Linked DNA regions of Xenopus tropicalis. The protein of the gene in region 1 purifies or fractionates together with the protein of each later gene. This does not show direct contact. Links are inferred from orthologs where the notes say so. Each region holds a gene or a part of one and is shown in the gene's direction. Other genes may lie near its edges.

Region 1 (3,757 bases):
GTTTGGGATGGGATATACCCCAGATTACATTGTTTACCACGAGCTGGTGATGACCACTAAGGTAAGAAATGGCGAGAAATACATTTTGCTATTGTTTCAGAAGAATATGTGTTCTTCTCTTTACTAGCCACTAGAGAGCAGCATCCAGAATCAAAGGGCAATATGGCTGCTCAGGAATTCAATTCAAAAGAAATGCAGCAAACATAAAGGATTTGCTAACAGACTTATAAGTGATAATGTTTCTGTAAAAGACCTTTTAGACTAAAGGGCTCATAAAGATTACTATGTGTTGTCATTATCAAGCTGGCCATTTAAATAATGTAATGTTGGACACTTTCTCATGCAATCCATGTCCAAGGTTATATAGATAACCCTACATTTTTTCATTATTCTTTTACGCCTGAGTTTTTTGAGTGTTTGGTGTATATGCAAGACACAGTCCACTGTGCTACTTTAGGCTAATGCCACATGGGACTGATTCTCGGTTCAGCCCCTTACACTGGCATTGGTCTTCTTCCTTGCCTGCACCCAGGTGCCGGCACACCCTGCACATTTCAGCAGAGAAATACAATGAAAATCTTCATAGACAATACATAATAACGTTTTTCTGCGGTGAAATCTGGTGTGTTTGCCAGCAACTGGCCTGACAGGCTGAACATAGACCTAGAATCAGCTGGGCGGGGTGGCGGGGTTTGGTTGTGCAATTAATGCGATCTTCAAAAACCGTATATACACGAGTATAAGCCGAGGGCAACTTTTTCAGCACATTTTTGGTGCTGAAAAACTCTGCTTATACTCGAGTATATACGGTATGTATTAATATGCTTATTAGTAATACTCCAACTAACATTAGTATTTTATAGCAAATCACATTCTTCCAGCAGACATTGCTTTCAAGCACCAAAAAACTGACCATGCAGAAATGTCCTAATATTTTCTTTCCTGGTGACCCTTCTAGGAATACATGCAATGTGTCACAGCTGTGGATGGGGAATGGCTGGCAGAGCTGGGTCCAATGTTTTATAGTATTAAGCATGCAGGGAAAACAAGACAGGTAAGTGTTACTGTGATTTTAGATTTGTTTTTTTTAATATATATATAAACTGAAGTTTGATTCACAATTTATAAAAAAAAACTTTTAGGAAAACAGGCGCCGTGCAAAGGAGGAAGTATCTGCCATGGAGGAAGAAATGATGTTGGCAGAGGAGCAGCTTCGTGCCAGGAGAGAGGAGCAGGAGAAAAAGAACATTCTTAGCAGTGCAAGGTGAGCTGTGAGGGAGGATTTCCACTCCTACTTTCCGCATGACCAATACGTGATGGATAGTAAATTTTATGCATTGGGCCCCCAAATTGGTACTTCATTGGGTCAAACCCTGGTATGAGAATGATACAATTTATAGGTCAACACAGAATTCTTGCCCTTGTGCATGATAATCTAATTTAAAAAGGCTGTTCACCTTCAATGTTCAAATCTTATTAAATCACCAACAATGCCCTCAAAGTGTCAGAAAATCAATTTTCCATAAAAAAAATCAAAAGGACACTGTAAAAGCTATTTTTTCTACCAGTTAAATCAGTCCTTCTGTCTCTCTGATCAGTTTTCTGAAGGGATGGGAGTGGCCAATTTTGAACCTGACACACTGAGAACTTCCTATATGCTTACATCATCACATCCAGGTTTTCCTATTGGACCATTTATTTGGTGGCTTGTGCACTCCTAACCAGTTGGTTAATTTCTCCCTTGCAGTGGCATAGGCAAATAGACTCAGCACAGTTCTGTTAGATTTGCAGCACTCTGTCACAAGCACAGGAAGCAGTGTCAGATTGACAGGAGACACAGCCAATAGGAGTTAAGTCTGCTGCCAGTATCGTGTGACATCATATAAGGAAGTAAAAAAAAGCAACTGTAGTGTTTATGGGAGTCACTGCCCCCACCCAGCGGAGGGATGATTCTGAGGTGAATAGCTCTTCAGCTGCACATTTTTGTTAACTATGGATAGGGCATAGATTGTTCTATTAATGTGAACTGTTAGATTTGTGAGTGTTGTACAAAGGTGAGTCATTTATATGAGGATAAAATACCGTGTTTTCCCGAAAATAAGACACTGTCTTATATTTTTTTAAGCTCCAAAATATGCACTAGGTCTTATTTTCAGGGGATGTCTTATTTTTTGATCCTCATGTGCCTTTTTTTTTATTGCCCCCTTTGATCCTCATGTGCCTTTTTTTTATTGCCCCCTCTGTTATTTCTGTGTCCTCTGATCCTCCTGTGTAACATTCTCGTTCTTACCGGTACCTTGGTCTCTCTCGCGCCGTCACCATGGAAGCCGTCTAAGCGATGCGACTTCCTGTTTCCCCTGTGCGCTGCCTGCGTGGTCTCTCTCGCGCCGTCACCACTCAATGTGTTATAACGGCGCCAGAGAGACCACGCAGGCAGCGCACAGGGGAAACAGGAAGTCGCATCGCTAGACGGCTTCCAGGTGGGTGTCTTATTTTCGGGGGGTGACTTACTTTCCGGGGGGGGATGAAAAGGGGGGGGGGGGTGCCTTACTTTTGGAGGATGCCTTATTTTCGGGAAAACACGGTAGCTCTATATCTGAGTAAGTGGGCCATGAGCTGATTGCACAGATACTACGATGAAAAGTATCCAGTGTAGGCAGCTTAACTGGTTCCATGGTTAGGCAGCAGCGACTACTTATTGATTTTTTAATGCTATGTTTCACCAGGTCTTTGAAAATTTACACGCCAGGAAGGAAAGATCAAGTAGAACCTGGGACACCCCGCCGCACACCTGCACGGTTTGGCCTTTGAAACCTCATGTCATTTTTCCTCCTGGCATGGATATGATAAATCTGCATGGGACGAGATGTCATTTGTTCTTCGAGTGTAATGGACAATGCGGGTGGGAGAGGGGTTTAAGTATTTTCCTTATTGTAAAGTGGAACAATGTTATTTTTTAACAATAATGTCTTGAATTTTTGGCTCTGCGTGCTTTCCTTTTAAAATTCTACAAATACACAGGCTCAATGAACGTATGGAAGGTGGAATTAGCCAACTGTGCTCCTCTGCCCTCCTTTTTGCCCATAATATTTAGTGCAAACCTTGATCTTATAGACAGTTTGATAAGTACAGACTAGTGTTAACATGATAATTAACTCCTAACGAGTGTCGTAATGTCAGAGGCAGTCCCACAACAAGTGGATCAGTTGGCTTATCGGCAGCTCCCTCTGCTTGAAGCCAATTTAAGTGCTGTATATTGACTAAAACGCAACTGTTAAATGCTGATTATTGATTTTCCTACAATGCTGACGGGATGAAGTGCAGCTCGGGGATTCTGGCTCAGGCTTGGCTGCTTGCAGAGGGGAGTTTTGTCATCTCTTGCTATACAGTCCGACAGCTTGGTGATGGTTTGCTCTGGCTTGGCTATTCCAGCCCCTGTGCACTGCATTTCTCATACAGGCCTTCCCTAACATGCAGAGTCCCATTCATCTGATGTCTCCATTACATAAAGAATGAGAGAAACGATCAGTCTGATTAATTTATTATAAAATTATAAATATTTAAAAAAAAACAATTTAATGTTGATGCAGCAAGCAGAAATCTGGGACATATTAAAATGTGCAAACCTCCTGTATTGCTTCTCCAAAAGAGTGTTAAGACCATCCATTTCAAAAAAAAAAAAAAGTGATTCAAATAACTTATAATAGTATGTCCCCTGTATAGCTTCACTTTTGGATTTCCTTGAACAAGGCATTCA
Region 2 (3,657 bases), on another chromosome or scaffold:
AAAAGGAATGTTAGCTAAAAAAAATCAGGGAAATGCATTAAATATAGATGGTGCCACAAAAATTCTGTAAAATTAGGGAAAACGTAAATCAGGGTATGTAAAATTGAGGTTTCGCTGTATGGCATGTTGTTTATTGTGTCTAAATACAAGAGGTTGTACATGCTTCTAATGTAGCCTTAAACATGTTTGTGTTTCTTCATACAGGTATGGGATAAAACCCTTTATCCATAAAGCTCCAAATTATGGAAAGGCAGAGACCCCATTTTAATCAAATTTTTAAAAATGATTTCCTTTTTCTCTGTAATATTTAAACAGTACCTTGTACTTGATGGCAGCTAAGATATAATGAATCCCTATTGGAGGCAAAACAATACTACTGGGTTTATTTAATGTTTAAATTATTTTTTTAATAGACTTAAGGTATTGAGATTCAAATTATGGAAAAAAAAACCCTTATCTGGGGAGCCCCAGGTCCCACGCATTCTGGATAATAGATCCCATACCTGTAATGGTATTTAACCTGTTCCATTTGTGTACCTGTTATTTAAAGGAGAAAGAAAAGCTAAGTCACTGGGGGGTGCCAGAATGTTCGGCATTCAAATTCTGAGAGTTGCAGAAGTTAATTTAAAAAAACAAAAAAGAAAAACTATTGGGAATTGTCTTAGAATGCAGATGTATACATAACACCAAGTAAATTGTTCTGTGAGCTACCCCTCAATCTGGCAATAGACTTTATACTGCCTTGTCTGTTACAAATTGCAGACATGTCTTACCCCATGACCTACAAATATCAGTAGCACTAACTGTTGGCTTTTGACAGAATATTGAGGGTTGTGTTTATACAATATATGTTGGGCACCCCCAATCAATCTGATTGTGGGGAAAATAGAGGGACATACTGTGCCACAGTTCTACTTTCCCAGGCTTTTCTAGCAAGGTCTTAAGCTGGCCATACACACACAAATATAGTTTTGTACAATTTTTAGACCATGTGTGGGCTCTGAATTATTGTCTTCATAATTTTAATACCATGGTGTTCGGTAGTTTTATCGATTGAACAGGTTAGAAAATTTTGGCAGGATAAAGATAAAATCTGTGCATGTATTGTGTATCTGATGATATCCTTGGGGAACCTAAAATGCATCAGATGATTGCTGTCTGCCTATTATTTTATGTTCAGAACATCCTCCGCTTTGTTATATTTAGATTGTTGCATTTTTACATATGATCGATATCCTGACGTTCATTAATGAAGACTAAAATCTGAGCATGTATGGGCAGCTTTAGACTCACAAATGCATTTTTGTTGTTTGTTTGTGCATATTTTTATTGTTGCTTATTAAGGCAAATATAGAATAAAGATTATGTCAATACAGGTATGGGATCCCTTATCTGGAAACCCATTATCCAGAAAGTTCCGAATTACAGAGAGGCCAACTCCCATAGACTCCATTATAAGCAAATAATTCACATTTTTGAAAATGATTTCTTTTTTCTCTGTAATAATAAAACAGTACCTTGTACTTGATCCCAACTAAGATGTAATAAATCTTTTTTGGGGGCAAAACAATCCTATTGGGTTTATTCTCTATTTAAATTATTTTTTAGTATTTTTTAGTAGACTTAAGGTATGGAGATCCAAATTACGGAAAGATCCCTTATCCAGAAAACCCCAGGTCCCAAGCATGGATAACAGGTGTCCCATACCTGTACTAAAAAGAGGATTGCAGCATTGGAAAAAATATTTTACATTTGTATATTTTGAGTTTTAACAATACAGAAAGATACAGAACTCAGAAACCGTGTGATATTAGCATATATAATAAATTGGCTTAGTTACAGCAACCAGAATATTATTTATTTTCTGGGTGCTTCTTTAATAAGAAAGGAAGGTAAGGCAAGAACAAATGCATTTTTATTAATAGGAGCACCAGCCTGGGGAAACAAAATTTAGTCTGACATTTTTGCACCCCCAGTAAATCAGGGCTTCATTGGCCTTAAAGGAACAGTAACACCAAAAAATGAAAGTGTATAAAAGTAACTAAAATATAATGTGCTGCTGCCCTGCACTGGTAAAAGTTGTGTGTTTACTTCAGAAAGTCTACTATAATTTATATAAATAAGCTGCTATGTAGCCATGGGGGCAGCCATTCAAAGGAGAAAAGGCACAGGCACATTGCAGATAACAGATAAAACACTATTGTATTCTACAGAACTTATCTGTTATCTGCTATGTAACTTGTGCCTTTTCTCCTTTTTTCCAGCTTGAATGGCTGCCCCCATGGCTACACAGCAGCTTATTATATAAATTATAGTAGTGTTACTGTAGCAAACACACCAGTTTTACCAGTGCAGGGCAACAGTGCATTATATTTTTATTACTTTAAAGCTCTTTAATTTTTTGGTGTTACTGTTCCTTTAAACAAATCTGCTATTTTTATTTTTGCTGAATTGTCTGTTTGAAAAGTCAGTAATTGCACTGCATTTGATGCAGACTATTATCTACTAAAAACTTTAAGCCCTCATTTTGAGGTGATAATTGCATTATTGGGATCAACTGATAATTGAATTATTTGCTTAGGAGTCTATGGGAGATGGTCTTCCCGTAATTTGGAACTATCTGGAAAACAGGTTTCCGGACAATGGATCCCATACCTGTACTACAGTATATGTTTAAGCTGTGTACTGTAAGATTTAGTATTTATCATGCATAAAACAAATTATAATTAAAAGCTCATTCTGAATTCTGAGAATACCAGTTATATTAGTCGGTCTAGTATAACTCATGTCTTTCTTTTTTTACCAGGCTCACTTCTTTTGGAATCAAAAATTAATACTAACACAGCTTACCAGAAACAGCAGGTAAGTCTTTCTGTAACAAAGTATTTCCTAAGAAGTTATGTAATGTATAGGTCTCTGTTTAATACCTGTGCTATACTTTTTTGAAATAATTAATAAAAATTGTAGTGTTCTAACATTTATTTGAAATGAGCAATATAGAATATTGTCCATAAATATTAAGTTTTCTTTTTTTTTTTATATATTTATTACTCTTGACTTTTTCTGTAATTTGGTAAATACCCCTTAAAAATGATAAAATCCTACGAGTGCTGTTATTTTCCACGTTAACTAGAATTATCTGTTTACTTTCAGGACACTTTAATAGTATGGTCAGAAGCAGAAAATTATGACCTGGCTCTTAGTTTTCAGGAAAAGGCTGGGTGTGATGAAATTTGGGAGAAAATATGCCAGGTGAGTTTTCTTTTTGTTATACCTCTGTATAAAATATTTGCCGTGCCTGGTAAGGGTTCATTTATTGCCTTCATGTCAGACCATGCCTTGTTCTTGACTGAACCGGTGACAGACTGTCTCAAGCTAACAATATTTACAGCATAATAAATCTTAATTTTAAGGTCAACATTAAGCTGAATATACCTTGTACACAGTTCTGTGTGCCTGTAAACTCTGAACTGTGAGTGCGACATTTTCAAAGGAGAACCATGTACACAACATATTTAGCTCTTTGATCTATAGATCAGTAAGATGCCATTTATGTTTAATATAAAACATAACAGCATAATATATGGTAATTTGGGACTCAAATACATTTTTGTGCAGATATGCCAGTATTGGTTAAGCAAATTGTGTATATTTCCT

The links. The genes of interacting proteins can lie anywhere in the genome.
Region 2: the proteins of dhx38 (region 1) and ppp4r3a purify together in Homo sapiens (co-immunoprecipitation; 3 studies listed by BioGRID and IntAct, with this or other methods). This does not show direct contact. The link is inferred for Xenopus tropicalis from reciprocal best matches to the Homo sapiens genes DHX38 and PPP4R3A.

The regions. Positions count from the first base shown.
Region 1 is NC_030680.2:60,112,654-60,116,410, forward strand, and holds the end of dhx38 (pre-mRNA-splicing factor ATP-dependent RNA helicase PRP16), read left to right. Parts: coding exon 1-61; intron 62-958; coding exon 959-1,054; intron 1,055-1,142; coding exon 1,143-1,264; intron 1,265-2,726; coding exon 2,727-2,811; 3' UTR 2,812-3,684; downstream 3,685-3,757. UniProt on the Homo sapiens protein: Probable ATP-binding RNA helicase. Involved in pre-mRNA splicing as component of the spliceosome.
Region 2 is NC_030684.2:87,125,433-87,129,089, reverse strand, and holds part of ppp4r3a (serine/threonine-protein phosphatase 4 regulatory subunit 3A), read left to right. Parts: intron 1-2,806; coding exon 2,807-2,862; intron 2,863-3,153; coding exon 3,154-3,252; intron 3,253-3,657. UniProt on the Homo sapiens protein: Regulatory subunit of serine/threonine-protein phosphatase 4. May regulate the activity of PPP4C at centrosomal microtubule organizing centers.